Linked DNA regions of Callithrix jacchus. The protein of the gene in region 3 interacts with the protein of the main gene of each other region in a pairwise test. Links are inferred from orthologs where the notes say so. Each region holds a gene or a part of one and is shown on either strand. Other genes may lie near its edges. The genes, in order: WHR1, COX5B and BHLHE40.

Evidence for each region.
Region 1: the proteins of BHLHE40 (region 3) and WHR1 interact in a two-hybrid assay, tested with the Homo sapiens proteins (2 studies listed by BioGRID). The two-hybrid records come from large-scale screens. The link is inferred for Callithrix jacchus from reciprocal best matches to the Homo sapiens genes BHLHE40 and WHR1.
Region 2: the proteins of BHLHE40 (region 3) and COX5B interact in binary tests that used the Homo sapiens proteins (3 or more experiments, as listed by UniProt). The two-hybrid records come from large-scale screens. The link is inferred for Callithrix jacchus from reciprocal best matches to the Homo sapiens genes BHLHE40 and COX5B.

The regions. Positions count from the first base shown.
Region 1 is NC_133505.1:39,489,180-39,494,856, reverse strand, and holds the start of WHR1 (winged helix repair factor 1), read right to left. Parts: upstream 3,840-5,677; 5' UTR 3,668-3,839; coding exon 3,343-3,667; intron 3,212-3,342; coding exon 3,075-3,211; intron 1-3,074. Other genes in the region: DXO (decapping and exoribonuclease protein), read left to right, coding at 3,842-3,937, 4,184-4,545, 4,713-4,948, 5,033-5,252, 5,380-5,515, 5,655-5,677. UniProt on the Homo sapiens protein: DNA-binding protein which is required for efficient transcription-coupled nucleotide excision repair (TC-NER). Acts as part of a TC-NER complex which assembles and interacts with RNA polymerase II (RNAPII) when it stalls at DNA lesions.
Region 2 is NC_133515.1:6,949,823-6,955,499, reverse strand, and holds COX5B (cytochrome c oxidase subunit 5B, mitochondrial), read right to left. Parts: upstream 3,008-5,677; 5' UTR 2,989-3,007; coding exon 2,886-2,988; intron 1,730-2,885; coding exon 1,656-1,729; intron 1,485-1,655; coding exon 1,385-1,484; intron 211-1,384; coding exon 98-210; 3' UTR 15-97; downstream 1-14. UniProt on the Homo sapiens protein: Component of the cytochrome c oxidase, the last enzyme in the mitochondrial electron transport chain which drives oxidative phosphorylation.
Region 3 is NC_133516.1:62,118,292-62,123,968, reverse strand, and holds the start of BHLHE40 (class E basic helix-loop-helix protein 40), read right to left. Parts: upstream 3,806-5,677; 5' UTR 3,527-3,805; coding exon 3,447-3,526; exon of another isoform or gene 3,280-3,446; coding exon 3,210-3,279; intron 3,095-3,209; exon of another isoform or gene 2,946-3,094; coding exon 2,838-2,945; intron 1,898-2,837; coding exon 1,774-1,897; intron 458-1,773; coding exon 1-457. UniProt on the Homo sapiens protein: Transcriptional repressor involved in the regulation of the circadian rhythm by negatively regulating the activity of the clock genes and clock-controlled genes.

The DNA.
Region 1 (5,677 bases), on a different chromosome or scaffold from region 3:
GTAAAATTAAGCCATGTTGTTTACACACATAAGTGGTATAAAGAAAACCAAGGGGGCTGGGCACTGTGGCTCATGCCTGTAATCCCACCACTTTGGGAGGCCAAGATGGCCAGGAGTTCAAGATGAGCCTGGCCAGCAATGATGAAACCCCACCTCTACTAAAAATACAAAAATTAGCCAGGTATGCATTTGTAGTCCCAGCTTCTTGGGAGGCTGAGACAGAAGAATCACTTGAACCCGGAAGGGGGAGATTGAAGTGAGCTGAGATCACACCACTGGACTCCAGCCTGGGTGACAGGGCGAGAATCCATCTCAAAAAACAAAAGAGAATGAGAACTAAGGGAACAATTACCATAGCAGTCATCTCCCAGGAACATTCTGATCAGAGATGTTTTGATCAGAGAATATACATGTGATACTGGCCATGTTCTATAATTTGACCTAGGCAGTGGCTAGATGGGTATCTGCTTTATAAACATTATTTAAATTACGTATGTTTGTATTTTCATTCTGCAATTTTCAAAGGTTTTTAAAAATAAAAGCTAACACCAATATATTAAAAACAAATACTCTTTAAGGAGTGGTTCCATCTAGCATGCTTCCTAAAACGAGCCTTAGTGAGGAAGCCTAGCTCTCTCTTCCTTTTCTTCCCTCTTTTCTTGACAGATCACTATTAAACTTCTACCTGCTAAATGCAGATTTCAGTTCGGGGTTTTTTTGTTGTTGTTTTCATTTTTTTTTCTTTTTCTTTTCTTTCTTTCTTTTTTCTTTTATTCTTGTTTTTTTATCTTTTTTTTTTTTTTTTTTTTTTTTTTTGAGATGGAGTTTTGCTCTTGTTGCCCAGGCTGGATTGCAATGGTGTGATCTCAGCTCACCGCAACCTCCACCTTCCTAGTTCAAGGGATTCTCCTGCCTCAGCCTCCTGAGTAGCTGTGATTACAGGTATGCACCACCACACCCAGCTAATTTGTATTTTTAGTACAAATTACAACATGGTTTCTCCATGTTGGTCAGGCTAGTCTCAAACTCCTGACCTCAAGTGATCTGCCTACCTTGGCCTCCCAAAGTGCTGGGATTACAGGCATGAGCCATCATGCCCAGCCTCATTTTCATTTTTTTAGAGACAGGGTCTTACTCTGTCACCCAGGCTGGAGTGCAGTCATGCATCATAGCTCACTGCAGCCTCAAACTCCTGGGCTCAAGCAATCCTTCTGCCTCAACTTCCCAAATAGCTAGAATTACAGGTGCACACTACCATGCTCAGCTAAGAATTTTTGTGTTTTATTTTATTTATTTAATAGAGATGGGGGGGTCTCACTTTGTTGCTCAGGCTGGTCTCAAACTTTTGGTTTCAAGCTATCCTCCTGCCTCAGCCTCCCAAAGTGATGGGATTACAGGTATGAGCCACCACACTCAGCTTAGATTTCAGTTTACGTTTTACTTTACCTCTTCCCTCTTCTTAGACATGGGGCACTGGCTTGAATCACAGGTTGTAATACTGCCAACTACTTCACTTTCTCAAAATTTTCTTTACTTTCACAATAGTCCTCTTCCTGGGTTACTTTTTTTTTTTTTTTTTTGAGACAAGGTCTAGCTCTGTCACCCGGGCTGGGGTGCAGTGGTACTATCTCAGCTCACTACAACATCCGCCTCCCCAGCTCAAGCAGTACTCCCACCTCAGGCTCCCCAGTAGTTCTACAGGCATGTAACACCATGCCTGGCTAATTTTTGTATTTTTTGTAGAGATGGGGTTTTGTCATGTTGCCCATGCTGGTCTTGAATTCATGAACTCAAAAGATTCACCTAGGCATCCCAAAGTGCTGGGATTACAGGTGTGAGCCACTGTGCCAGCCTCTGGGTTCCTCTTAACTTAGGCAATTTTCTCTGCCTCTGTCATATATTCCTCTTCTTCTGCTTTCCCTTTTCATCAGTGGATCTCAAATTTTAAGGCACACTTAAAAAGTCCTTGAGACAGTTCAAAAATGTAGATTCCCAAATCTACCAAGAGATCGTAATTCATTAACCTTGGATGAGTCCCAGGAACCTATATGCTTTTAATAAGCAACCCATGTAATTTTAACACAGGCAATAACTGAGGTCATACATTCAGTAACACTGCCTTAAATGATAGTGTTTCCGAGGATTATGGATTTGACCCTATTATCTTCCACTCTAAATCTGGAGTCCTTAACCACAGACCTTGGAGGATTAGTGAAATATATCTCCCTTAACTGTACATATACTCTGTGTATATGTGACATGCATGCATTTTTCTGAAGAGATAGCCACAGCTTTTATCACCTTTTAACGCTTATATAAAGGTTAGAAATCACTCCTCTACCCACGCTTCCTACTGAATCTCACCCACATACACAGAATTAACCACTTGCTATTCACACCTCCATGACTTGTTCTACATCACTGGCCCAGAATTCTCTCCAACTCTCATATCTAACTGCCTAATAATTTTTGTCTTTGGAGGCTCCACATGCACCATCAACTCAACTTGTACAAAATTAAACACATCATCTGCACTCCAACAACTAAATGTGCTCCTAATATCACCAGACACACAGTCATCTGGAAAGTCTGAGTTGTCCTCGACTCCTCCCTCTTCCTCACTCTCCTCTCCCTCCCTGCTGCACTGACCTAGTTTAGGCCTTCACTTCTCAAATGCAGTATCTTCTTAGCTGACCCCTCTGCCTCATCCACTAACTCCAATACACCATTCCCTCTCCTCTATGACATTCTCTACAAGCTCATCGCCTCAGTGTAAGATGGAAACCACACTGATGTACAAGGCCTGTCGAACTGCACTCCTAAGGGGAAACCATGCCCCATGACTCGGTTTCCCCAAAACCCTCGTTCTTCTACCTCCCAGATTTGAAATGCCCTGTACTCTCTGCGGGCCTTTTAACAGGGTCTGTAGCGTTCTCTGTGGCACCCCAGTGCCTGGCACAGTTCCCTCCCCTGAAAGGCCTAAAGCTTGCTGAACGGCTGACGGAGTGATTGAGTGACAGGAAAATTTAGGAGTTAGGAAAGGGGCCTCCGGCCGTCGCACCGATGCCCCTCACCAGCTGCCGGTCGGCCACGGTCCTGTCAGGCACTAGGCTGTACACCTGGCTTCTCAGCACGATGGGCGGCAGCGCGTCCTCAAACAGGCCTCGCGGGAACAGCTGCATGAGCTCTGAGACAGCCGCGCGCGCCGACCCTGGGCAGAGAAACCGGGTCACTGACAGGGAACTGGGGCAGGGACGCTGTTCTCACAAAACTCTCGGCCACCGGAAGCGAGGCCCCGCCCAGCTGGGGTCTTTAGCCCCGCCCCGGGGTTGCCATGGTTACCTCGCTCTCCCCGCAGAGGATCCGATTCCACAGGCCCTCGTTTCTGCCGCCTCTTAAGTCCACTGGTCTCCGAGACCAGGCGATGCCTCTTCCGGCTCATATCCCGGGATTTTATGATACCGGGGAAGAGGTAGAGGTAGAGGGAAGATAACCGGATAATAGGGTCTTCCGGCGCAGAGCAGTGACGTACGGCTTCCCCGGGCGTCCCTTCCAGTAGACCAGGTGACACAGCGTATGTACCAAGACGTGATGACGAAAGGGGCGTCAACTTGTCACCCCTCAGGCCCGTGCTGGAAGGGGCCCTTGCCGACGCAGATACCAGCATCACCTCCGCCGGGCCGGGCCCCACGCCTACAGCGGATTGGGTCCCTCCAAGAGCACGCACTCCCTGGGACTCGTGTGCGGCGTGGAGGGGCGCCGGTGACCACGTTAGGATCAACCTCTTGAGGGAAGCTCATACCTCCCCCGCCCCGCCAAGGGTTTACCCGCCTGTCGCTGAATGATTGCATCATCGAAAGCAGAAAAACCACTTTTGCATCCTTCGGCCTCTGTGACGTCAGAGCTCTACAGAGGTGCAAGTTGCGCGGGCATTGAGGTAACCAAATTCTTGATCTGAGCGCAGACGTCCTTCCTAACCTCACTGCAGGAGAACCTGAAGGGAGGGTGGGTAAAGGACAAGGAAAGAGGCAGGATGAGAGCTTGGCCTAGGTGCCGTCTGGGAGGCCTGCATGTTTCACGGCCGGAGCCTTGCGATCAGGTGGTTCGCTTAGTCCTAAACCACATTCACCCTTCTCCAGGCCTCCTCTGTAAAATGGAAATTCTTTCCCCCTGCCTCCCGTAGGACTTCATGGAGCCCAGGGGGACCAAGAGAGAAGTTGGGAAGACAGAGGTAGCTGAGCCTCGGAACAAACTACCCCGTCCAGCACCTTCTCTGCCAACAGACCCTGCCCTCTACTCTGGGCCCTTTCCTTTCTACCGGCGCCCTTCGGAACTGGGCTGCTTCTCCCTGGATGCTCAACGCCAGTACCATGGAGATGCCCGAGCCCTACGCTACTACAGCCCACCCCCCACCAATGGTCCAGGCCCCAACTTTGACCTCAGAGACGGATACCCGGATCGATACCAGCCCCGGGACGAGGAGGTCCAAGAAAGGCTGGACCACCTGCTGTGCTGGCTTCTGGAACACCGAGGCCAGTTGGAGGGGTGAGCAAAGCATAGCGGGCAGTAGATCTGGAGACATGCACCTACCCTCTAAAATTAGGAGCCAAAGCTGGGGTGAGAATGACTCCTTAGAAAAAAACAGGCTATTCTTGGGAGGGAGCATCTCACTAATGCTTGAGTCAGACCGTCAGACTGTAACTCTCTCTCAGGGGTCCAGGCTGGCTGGCAGGGGCCATAGTGACTTGGCGGGGGCACCTGACAAAATTGCTGACGACACCGTATGAGCAGCAGGAGGGCTGGCAGCTGGCAGCCTCCCGGTTCCAGGGAACACTATACCTGAGTGAGGTGGAGACACCGGCCGCTCGGGCTCAGAGGCTTGCTCGCCCGCTGCTCCTCCGGGAGCTTATGTACATGGGATACAAATTTGAGCAGTACATGTGTGCAGGTGAGTTGCCCCTGCTTCATAGCCCCTTTCCCCTTCCCAGAGATTGAGAGACCCCACCCTGCTGCTGCTTCTCTCCTTACGCAGACAAACCTGGAAGCTCCCCAGACCCCTCTGGGGAGGTTAACACCAACGTGGCCTTCTGCTCTGTGCTACGCAGCCGCCTGGGAAGCCACCCTCTGCTCTTCTCAGGGGAGGTAGACTGCACAGACCCCCAGGCCCCATCCACACAGCCCCCCACCTGCTATGTGGAACTCAAGACCTCCAAGGAGATGCACAGCCCTGGCCAATGGAGGAGCTTCTACAGGTTCAGGATAGGGGTCGGCAGGGCGAAAGCCTAGACTTGAAGGCTGGGAAAGGGACTTGGGGAGGAGGGTGAAGGCAGAATGGATGGTAGACAAGGGGCGCCACTGACCCCTTGCTTTTCCTGACAGACACAAGCTTCTGAAATGGTGGGCTCAGTCATTCCTCCCAGGGGTCCCGAATGTTGTTGCTGGCTTCCGTAACCCAGAAGGTTTTGTCTCTTCTCTCAAGACCTTTCCTACCATGGAGATGTTTGAATATGTTAGGGTAAGGGAATGGTGTTGTAGCTCCCATCGTATCCCCAAACACCAAGACCACAGGTCTAATGTCCAGGGCAGCAGCCTGTCTTCCCCTCCTCCTACCACCCCAACTGCCAGTCTTATGCCTCCTCTTCTGCCTGTTCCAGAATGACCGTGATGGCTGGAATCC
Region 2 (5,677 bases), on a different chromosome or scaffold from region 3:
TAAGACCAGCCATCTATGGGAGAAGAAGCCAATGCAATGGCTAGTCTTTATTGGAAAGAAGTTTTATAGCATATTTTGAGTAACTCAGTGCAGGCGCTCAGTGTGCCAGCTGGTGGGGCACCAGCTTGTAATAGGCTCCACAGCTGGGGCATCGCTGGGCCTCGCCTTTGTGCAACCAAAACCAGATGACAGTACTGTTGTCCTCTTCACCTAAAAGGGAAAAAAGGTGGTTGAGTCATTCTGTCTAGAAAGGGAGACTTTCAACATGAATTTCTTTTCCTCAGACACCTCTGATACACAAGACAGACTATGGTCAAGATAGTGACCAATAATGGTCAGTTCAAGCCCTCCTCCCATTATTCAGATGAAGAAATTGAGGCTCTGAGTCCACCTATAAGTAAAATGACCTAATATCAGGGTCACTGTAAATTCTTTTGTTTTTTTTCATCTCGCCCCGTCACCCAGGCTAGAGTGCAGTGGTGCCATCTCTGCTCACTGCAACCTCCACCTCCCAGGTTCAAGCGATTCTCCTACCTCAGCCTCCCAAGTAGCTGGGATTACAGGTGTGCACCACCATGCCCAGCTAATTTTTTGTATTTTTGGTAGAGACAGGGTTTCACCATGTTATCCAGGACGGTCTGGATCTCCTGACCTCGTGATCTGCTCGCCTCACCCTCCCAAAGTGCTGGTACTACAGGTGTGAGCCACAGCACCCAGCCAAGGCTCACTGTAAATTCTAACAATTCCCCTGCCCATGTAGAACACAAAGGAGGTCCATTCTGGTATGTATCCCTACTGTCTAAAACGATGCCTGGCATAGAAGCAATATAACAATAAATATTTGCTGGGTGGATACTCCTTCATGCCACACCTCCACTGAGCCAGTCTTTCCACCGTGCTGCGCTTCTTTCCAGGAAGGATGAACTATCAGGCATAATGAGGCTTGAACAAGACCCATAGGGAAACTCATTTACAAACATGTATTCACACACTATAAGATTTAAAGCAGCTTGGCCAGGCCCGGTGGCTCACACCTGTAATCCCAGCACTTTGGGAGGCCGAGGCGGGTGGATCACGAGGTCAAGAAATCGAGACCATCCTGGTCAACATGGTGAAACCCCATCTCTACTAAAAATACAAAAAATTAGCTGGGCATGGTGGTGCGTGCCTGTAATCCCAGCTACTCAGAGGCTGAGGCAGGAGAATTGCCTGAACCCAGGAGGCGGAGGTTGTGGTGAGCCGAGATCGCGCCATTGCACTCCAGCCTGGGTAACAACAGCGAAACTCCGTCTCAAAAAAAAAAAAAAGATTTAAAGCAGCTTATAGACTCCTGTACTATAGGATATATATTAAGTGGATAAAGAAATAGAGGTGAGGTACTTACAGATACAGCCCACTATTCTCTTGTTGGTGACAGAAGGAACTAAATTAGGGTCTTCCTTAGTGCCTGAAGCTCCCTTTGGGGGCAGTATATTGTATGGGTCCTGAAAAAAACACAAGAATTGAACCATTATGCCAAATAAGCCCTACGTTCCAGAAGCTCAGCGTGTTCCTATAAGCCAAGTTCCCTGGATCAAATACTCCCAGAGAGGAGACTACTATGAACACATACAAGAACGTAAGTTCCACGGAAGACACAGAAAGGAGTTTCTCACCAGTCCCTTTCTTGCAGCCAACATGATCTCCCTCTCCAACCCAGTCGCCTGGTCATCATCACTAGGAACACCACCTACAGGAAGATATGTGAATTATGATGCTGACTGAAATGATAGAAAAATTAGGAACAGAAATGATCAAGAAGAAAAATGCCACACTGAAACTTCTGCATACGTTTTAGTGGGCTCACAAGCTCCTAAAAGCTACTCATATCCATGGTCCCCAAAGAACCACCAAATCATGATCCACACAAGGGGCAGCACTTGGGGGAGCTGCTGCTTTTTTTTTTTTTTCCTCGTTGCCCAGGCTGGAGTGTAATGGCAAGTTGTCGGCTCACTGGAACCTCTGCCTCCTGGGTTTAAGCGATTCTCCCGCCTCCTGTGTAGCCGGGATTACAGGAGCACGCCACCACGACCAGCTAATTTTTTTTTTTTTTTAAGGAGTTTCATTCTTGTTGCCCAGGCTGGGGTGCAGTGCTATGATCTCGGCTCACTGCAACCTCCGCCTCCCGGGTTCAAGCAATTATCCTGCCTCAGCCTCTCCAGTACCTGGGATTACAGGTGCCCTCCACCACGCCTGGCTAATTTTCGTAATTTTGATAGAAACGGGGTTTCCTATCGTCCTGGCCTGGCTGGCCTCGATCTCCCAACCGCAGATGATGATCCGCCCGCCTCGGCCTCCCAACGTGCCGGGATTACAGGCGTGAGCCACCACGCCCAGCCCAATTTTTGTATTTTTAATAGAGACGGGGTTTCACCGTGTTGGCCAGGCTTGTCTCGAACTCCTGATCTCAGGTGATCCGCCCACCTCGGCCTCCCAAGGTGCTGGGATTACAGTCGTGAGCGCCCGGCGTAGGAGCTTTTCCTTCTCCAACCACCGAGACCAATTTGTCGACATTTGTCTAAAAGCAAGTTAGAGCCCACTCGGCTTGAGGCGGGCGCAGGTTTGAAGGGCGGCCGGACCCCTCCCCAACCCGGTCGCAGTCCCCACCCCTCCCAAGGTCACCCGGCACCTCCGTTTAGGATACTTTCGCAGAGGAGTCAGTTCGGGGGGGCGGCAGGAGCAGCGGCCTGGAATTATAGGAAGATGCCTGCAGAGCCTGAGACACTCCGGACCGTATGCGGTCACTGGGACCTCTAGTAGCTGCACGTCACGCCCCGCTCTGCCGCCCTGGGACCACTACGGGAGGGCAATACTCCGGTCCCTGGCAAGCCTGGGGAGCCGAGTACCTCCAGAGGCCATGGAGCGCACCGCGGCCGCACCATTGGGACCGCGAGCCCTCAAGGCCTGCGCGGCCAGCGCTCCGGCTCCGCGAAGTAACCTTGAAGCCATCGCGTCCGCGACAAGCAACAGCACTTCCGGGAACAGGATGCAAAGACAGGAGAGACTTCCGGGGGCGGGCTTCTTTCTCCTCCCGGTCAGCTTTCCGCTCCTTCCCCGCCCTCGGGCCCGCCCACTCCCGCCACCTTGGCGGGGGCGGAAACTGCGCATGCTCAAGTGTGCCTTTCCCTGCACCGCACAGTAGCTGAGGCTTGGGGGCGGGTTTGCTCTTTAGTAAGGCTGAGAGGTGAGCAAGTTGTTTTGGTGTTTGGAGCTCAGCGGCTAAACCACATTGGAGTTCCTCTGTATCTGGCCTGCACTTGGAGGCTACTGATGGAAGTCATTAAGTCCCCGCCTGTCAAGAGACTGACTGGACCCCAAATGATTTGAATTTGAAAGTGGGCTCCTAAAGATCTCTGCGTTCCTTGCTAGGCTAGTTAGTGGCAACGCTGGTTCTCTGGCAGTGCGTGAGCCGTCGCGAGCGTGTTGCATTGGACGGGACCTACCTGCAGTACTGGCCCAGTTTCCTGTTAGAGTTGTACTGTGGGGGGTTAGGCGCCGGGGTCCCTGCGGGGTCCCGGCCTAGGGAGGAGGACAGGACGGCGGCAGGACCCCGCCCAGGACCAAGAGCCTGCTGATGTGAAGAGAGAAAGTGGCCACTCTTCGAGGCCACTAGGGGAGGAGAAGTTAAAAAGGGGAGTTGATAATGGGAAATGGAGTCAGATCCTGCTGTGACTGGAATTCCGTTTGAAACGGAAAACATCTTCCGTCCATAGCTTTCCGTTGCCCCCACAGGCTAAGATGTGCAAATTTCTTAGGGTGAGCTTTAGTCTGTGTAGCCCTATGACAGGCTAGCTGCATGCGGTATCTGAGTTTCCCTACCAGATAGAAAAATCGCTTTAGAGTGGAATTAGCTCATTACTGAATTTTCAATGCCTTGCAGAGGTCTGGTATATAGTAGGATCCAGTAATTTTAGTAAATTTACTACTTGGATAGACTATATAAAACCAGTTTATAGGGCTTCTCCTGGCCCAGTGAGGTCAATTGGAAGCAAACTGGGTAGAGTTGAAGGCTCAGATGCTCCCACTTGTCTCATGCAGGCTATGATATTTTCAAAAGGACACGGTGGAGCATTGCCTCCCAGGAGCACGTCTGGTCTTCATGGGTGCCCCCTCCACCAATTAAAAAAAAAACAAACACCTGTATTCTGATACAAAAACCACCTTTAAAGGCCAAGATTTCCTTTAAAGGTGGTTTTTGCTTTGAATGGCTTCACTGTTACTCCCTTCTCTTTCACCTCCACTGCAACGCCTCCAAATTGAATTGAGGGAAAAAATTCTGAGCAATGTTCCCCAAGGACCTATAGTTAATTTGCAACTGTGTTTAGGTGTTTGGCAGGAGAAAAAGCATTGGTCTGGAAAGTAGCCTCACCAGCTAGTTCAGCCAGTCGCTTTTTCTCCTTTGGGCCACCATTTCTTCATCAGTAAAACTCGTTCAACTAGGTTAGTATTTCCCAAGTGTATTCCATGTCATCCAAGTCTCAAGATATGATCTTAAGAAAAAGGGCTTGGTCAAGACAGGGAAGTCCTGCGTTTCATGATCACTCTTTTGGAGCTGCACGAACATAATCAAGGCTCTGATTAGGCTTGCAGCAAGACCTTTTGTTTAATTTTCCTGCAGTTTAAGCCAAAGTTTCCCTATCTTAATTGACCACAAAACCCTTTCCTGAGGAACACCTACTAACTTGCCCCTCAGCAAACCAGTGAGATATTCAGCTCTGATGTGTTATGATTCCCAGCTGCCTGACCAGGAATGTTTTACTCCAGGCTGTAAGATGGAAACTGACTTTAGGCTTGTTTCTCACTCTCATTGTAGGTTTGCCTAATAGTAGGAAATTTTTGCAGGCCTTTATCTAACTCAGGAAAACCTCAGCCTCACTCTGGGATTATTTAGATTGTGTGAGTGAACTCCAAGGTCAGGGCCAGGCTCCCCAGATGTCCCCACATGCTGGAAGCATCCCCTGCTGCTTCCAGTTCCCACTACTCTCCATTCACACCCTGTCCCTCAGGTCTCCTTGAGAAACAGTTTGGCTTGGGGACCGGTCTGCCACCTCCGCTCCATCATTGTCTTTGCCAGCACAATAAACTTACTGAGTATTCTTTTATAGGCTAATTTTTAGTTGTCAAAATAAATATACACGGTAGGTCAAACAGGACAGATATGTAAGGAAAAAGCTAGCAGTTTGATGCTTATCCTTTTTTTCGTTCCCTATACCAGGTTTTCTCAAGCTCAGCACAACTGACATCTTGGGTTGATAATTATTTACAGGGAGGTTGTGCATTGTAGGATTTAACCCTATGCCATTAGCACTTCCCCGACATGATAACCAAAAACATCTTCAGCTATTGCCACATGCCCCCTGGATTTGCAAAATCCCCATTGAGCATCACTGCATATATGAATATAAAATATAAAAACATATAACTACTATATAAATTATTAGTAAGTTGCTTCCTTCATTAGAAATATTTTGTAGATATCCCTCCAGATCAATACATCTAGACCTTAACTTATGTAATGGCTACAGGATATTCCTTACCATCAATGTACTGTAATGTACCCAGCCATTCTCCCTTATGAATATTCCTATGGCTTCCAGTTTTTTGCCTCTCAAACAATGCTACAGTATACATCTTTATA
Region 3 (5,677 bases):
TGCTTAATTGCGCTGACTCTTTCTCCCATGGTGAACCTGCGTCCGTGGTCGCTTTTGAAGCACGGCTGCTCACTGCGCAAGTCGCCCTTCTCAGATTCTCCTCCATAGCCACTGTCTGTGTCCGTGTCACTGCCGCTCTGCTCCCCACTTGAGTGAGCAAAAGTCCGCTGGATGACTGGGACACAGTTTTTCCCAGGACCTTCCGAGCCTTTGGCCAGAGAGCTGGGTTTCTCCTTGAAGTCCATCACTTTGGGAGCTGGGTCTGATGGCTTCCTGGAGGTACCACCCTGAAGCAGCTCTGAGACCACGCGGTGGAGGTGGGTAACAAGCTGAGAAGACTTCAGGTCCCGAGTGTTCTCATGCTTGGCCAGATACTGAAGCACCTCCCGGGCACATGTCTGGAAGCCTGAGCAGAACATCTCTTGACCTGTTTCGACATTTCTCCCTGACAGCTCACCTGGGGAAACACATATCCGAAGAAAGACATTTCAGAAGGCCCTGTGATACACCTGGATACCTATGCCCCGAACACCAGGGGGCTTTCGTTTTCATTAAAAAAAAAAAATTGCATTACTGACCTGTGTTCTTAACTCCAAAAATAATATGCTCAGAGAAGAATTACACTGGAAAGTATAAAGAATTAAAATAATCCATATGCTAACACTCAGATAAAATATGATTTTTTAGTGGCTGCATAATACTTCATCATGGAAATGGACTGTAATTAATAGAGATGGGCTGTTTTCCCTGTTTTGGAATGTATAGGTTGTTTGTGAGTTTTCCATGTAAGTGAGGCAGCAGAGAACCTTCTGATATAAACCTAAGAGTCAATGCATATAACATTGCACCATGGCAAAATGGGCAGAGGCCGGACAGTCACAAAATGAGGAAAAGAATGAAGGTACAATATCACCTAAAGTAAACTTATTTTTAATGACTTGTAAAAGTTGCAGTCATGCTGTGATCTTTAATTAGGCTCTCTATTTCTATCTTTTTTCCATATATTCTATCCATGATCCTCAAGACATTAGGTATGACCATCTTCCTATTTTTAATGAGGAAACTGGCAGAAGCATTTGCTGGGATTTTGCAATTTTCATATGAGACTTTGAGAAGAAGAGAGAAAAGAATGAAATGAGGGAGTGGGTAGAATAATTCCCCCCAGTCTGTACAGTATTATTTGAAAAGAGTCAGACTAGAAGGTTAGAAGGTGACTCTGATTCTCTGGAAGTCAGTAGAAACGAATGATGAAACTTCAGTGGTTTCGCTAGATTGTGCAATTCACCAAGATACCTAGTGGCTATTCAGGGAACCACATGAAATGCAGGAAAAACTCCTGCTGTATCCTGCCAGCATCACACCACACACCAAGTAACAAGGAAGCAAAGACCCAGGAAAACACTGGGGCATACCCACGATCTCTTCTCCAATGACAGAGGGCTAAGAAGACCAACTGTAAAACACCCACAATGCAAATTATAGGTGCCTTGGCATTTTAAAAGGGAATAGGGAAATCTCCCAGAACCAAGAGATTCTCAAGCCAAAATGCCACAGGAATATCTTATCATTTTACTAATATGTATTCATGCCACGTGGCACACAGCATTTCAAATGAAAAGTCTGACCTTTTAGGAAAGATAAAACTGCATCTCCCCCAATGAACGTGCATAAGCAATTTGTTGCAGTCATGTTTCTTACATCAGATGTTGAGCCCACGGGCTCTCTATTTGTGCTCAAACTCATAAAGAGAAGATAGTCAGAATCAGCACTCACCAGCTTGTAAGCCGCTCTGCAGGGCAATGATTTTCTGCTGCTGCTGATCAATTAGGTTTGTTAGTGCTTTCACATGCTTCAAGGTAAGTTCAAGAACCACTGCTTTTTCCAGGTGACCCAAAGTCTGGAAGGAAAAGAGCCTTAGTCAGCTGTGAGGTCAGAGAAGTCCCACCTTTGGGACATTTATTAGCAATGAGAAATGTCTCTAATAGAAACAAAAAAGTGGAATAGTCTTTCCCAGTTGGCTGTTTTAAGTTTGTAGATCATGCTTTTAAAAAGACAGATAAACACACTCAAGTCTTTAATTCTTTAATTAAAGAATTTAAAAAACGGTGTCATCTATCTTTGGAGGCATTTTGGTAGCTGCAACTACCTCAGGAAAATGCTTTGACAGATAAATTTCTCCAGCAGCCTCTGCTGACCTTAACCCAGGGGAATCCAGAGATAACATTTCCCCGCAGTGGTGTCAACTCAGAGAGAGACCTCTATTATGTCTGGCAGCCAAGAGGCTTCCCCTACTTCTTTCCTTACACCCTTTCAGAACTTCCAGCTCATCCAGGCTTTTTTGCTCCTCCCGAAATACAATTTTTTTTTTCCATTTCCCCAACCAAAGGCTGCCAAGTAGCCGAGGGCTACTGTCAAGAAAGGACAGCCGTAAAAAAGGACACGCCAAAGCAAGTCCCCTTATTTAACAACAAGAAAAAAAGTGGGGGGGAGTGGTGGAGGGGAAGGGGTAAATAAAACGTGCGTTTTGCTTGGCGTAGTCTTTTAACTGAGAAAAACTAGAGAATCCTGAAAATCACCAGAAGTTAAACTCTTGAAAAGGAAGGCCAGCTGGTGTTGGAGCCAACTTGGAGAGGTCCGAGAGGTTCTCGCTTCATTTGCATGAATCTACCAGAAAACGCCAGGACTGGGGAGGGGGGAACCCTACCACAGAGCCACCCGCTAGCTCCGATCCGCCCGTCTGGTCTGCAGTTCCTTGCGGAACCTGCAGGCGGCGAGTGACCCCCGCCCGCCCTCTGGGCAAAGGAGCTGGGTTGGAAACGGGCCAGCTTCTCACTTACTGTAAGTTTGAGATGTTCGGGTAGGAGATCCTTCAGCTGGGCGATGCACTCGTTAATCCGGTCACGTCTCTTTTTCTCGATGAGCCGGTGCGGCAATTTGTAGGTCTCCTGCAAGACGCACGGGGAGGCGGTGGGCGCCTGGGGAAGGGGATAAGAAGGCTATCCTTCTCCCAGCCCCGCAGCAAGACTCCGTCAGAGGAGCAGAGTAGCACCCAGAACCATCATCTGCCCTTTCTTTTCCAAGTCACTCAGTAGAGGTACCGAGCCCACACCCTGCATCCCCTCGCCAGTCTCAAAGCGAGAAAACTTTTCTTGGAAACTCAGCGCGCGCGAGGGGCTGAGAGCGGGGTTCCCAGGGGTGCACTTCCTTACCTTGCTGTCCTCGCTCCGCTTTATTCCCCGCCTTGACTTATACACTTGGTACATGTGAGCAAAATCCATCCTGCAGGAAGAGAGACCAGGAAGGGTCGTGACTGCGTGCGCAAGGCTGCAGGTGTCCGGCCGGGCAAGAACCCCCCCGCGGTGTGCCCGGAGCTGCTCCAAGTTGAGAGTGGCTCATAACATGGGGCTGGAGCTGAGGCTTGAAGGGACCAAGGAGTGCCAACTTACCCTGGTAGGTCTCCGTGCTCCAGTCCCGGTGCTTTGGGCAGGCAGGCTGGGGGTGGTTGCGCGCTGGGGATCCGCTCCATTGCGCGACGAGCCGGGGCCACTGCGCGCTCTTGTCTGCACTAGTGGAGCGTCTCAGATGAGGACTGTCCTGGAGCGGGCTTCGGGGGTGTCTCCGCAGATGTTCCTTTGAGTCTGAGATCTTTGAAATCCCCTGGGCTGCTGGAATCTTCGGCTTTGAGATGGAGCTTCAGTTGGGGGCGTGCATAGCCCGGTGTCCCCGCGGCCTCTGGCTCCAACTCAGCGCACAGACTGGCGGTGTGTGCTCCCTGCGCGGTCTGCGCCGTGCGAGCCCAGTGAATGAGAAGTGGAGCGGGCGGGGAGGCGGGAGGGACCGGGGGGGGGGAGGTTAGGGCGGAGTAGGGGGGTTGGGGGGGACAAGCCGAGGAGTAATGGAGAGGCTGCGGGCTGGGTTAAATGGGAGCGAGTGGGTGGGTTGGAGCTACGTGTTCTACCCTGTGACTCCAGGCACGTCTGGCCACTGCCGGGGAGGGAAGGAGCGACCTGCCCGCCCTCCCCCGGCTTCATCACATGAGTCTCACGTGTTGGACAACGCTCCGGCGGCTGCTAGGGAGCCCCCACCCCCAGCCCCAGCCCCCAGGTGTCTGCGGCTGCGGCCGTCTTTCCCCGAAGAGGAGGTGGCAGCGCGACCTGGGTCCTGCCCAGCTGGGTGGGGGGCGCGGAAGCTGGAAGGCACCGGGGAATTGGGGGAGGGGGAGAGTTGGTAACGTGGGCGAACCTGCCCCAGGGAAATGAAGTAAGTTCCCGTCTCCTGGGAGGGAACGGGGGAGGACGGATCCGCCCGCGTCTGACTCAAGCCGGGAGAGGAATATCCCCTTGCTAGCTCCAGCCCAGCCCTCTTCCTCCTCCCCCGCCCGGCCCGCTTGGAGGAAGCGGCGCGCAGCGGAGGGAGTCGCCCGGCCCCCCAGCCTTACCCAGAGGCTGGGGTTTCTTTCCGTCCTGGCTTCCCTGCCCCCACCGCTCACCCTTGTGTCCAGGAATTGCCCGCCTTGGGGAGGGACTGAGGGGCGGGGCGGATGTCACCCCATGGGAAGCGGGCCGGCAGCCAAGCGAAGGGGCAGCTGAGGCTGCCGCCGAGCACGCCGCGCGCACCTGACCGCCAAGGGTGTGAGCCGAGGACCCCTCGCTCCCCTGTAGCTCCGCTCCCAGGCACAGCCTGCGGGCAGGCGGGCACCCGGTTGCGCAGCCCCCTGGGTGCCCCAATGTCACCCCCTTCCTCCAGGCCAGTCAAGCACAGAAAGATACCGGGCGCGGTGCCCGGCGTTCCCTCCCTCCTCTGCCCCCTCCAGAGCAGAGGCGCCCGGGTCGCCTCCCCTCCGGCTGCAGCGTTACACAACCGCGGCGGCGGCGCCTGCCCTGCAGCAGCGCAGGGCGTGACGCTTCACGTGGCCGGGGCTCAGGCCGCAGCACGGCGGACCGCGAGCCCCTCTGCGTGGACCCGGGGACTGAGACCCCGGGGACGTGGTGCGCCAGCCGGGATCCGCCTTCTCCCTGTCTGTTAGGAACTTCGGCGGCGCTGTTTGCGGTCAGCACCCGGGGCAGGAGGGATGAGAGAGACAAGAAAAAAAAACACTGGTTACGGTGAAATCTTAGGATTCATGCAGTCGACACATGTTTAATGAGCCCCTTACTCTGTGCTAGGCGCTGTGCTTATGTGTGAATCCTACATGGACCTTGCCCTTGAATTTATCCTCTAGGAAGAGGATAAATTGAGCAATGAAGCAAAGGCAGTCCTGGGAAAATTGTATCGAGGCCACTGGCTGACAGAGGGGAAAAAAAACAAACAACTTGTGCTGCTTTGTGTTTTGTTTTTAATTTGATGCTAACCAAGATGCCTGGGTAGAGAAGTGTGGAGAAGCCAACCTAAAGCCCCGAGCTCGGGGCGGAAAGACCTCCTCCAGCGGCCCAGATCTTTGCCATCTCACTTAGGCTGCCGGAGGGCCCCACCCACCTCCCCCGGAAAAGTCCGGGCTCTGTGACCTTCTAACTCAGCCGGGAGCAGGGAAAACAGCTGAAACTCCAATCCCTCGGCGTGAGCAGCCCCGATACAGTCAGAGGAGGGAGCGAGTGGAAACTCATGACTAAAATAAGGCCTGGCTGGGGATTTCACTGACCTCTGTGCTCCCCTGCCCTGCAAGTTCGGGGAGTTGAGA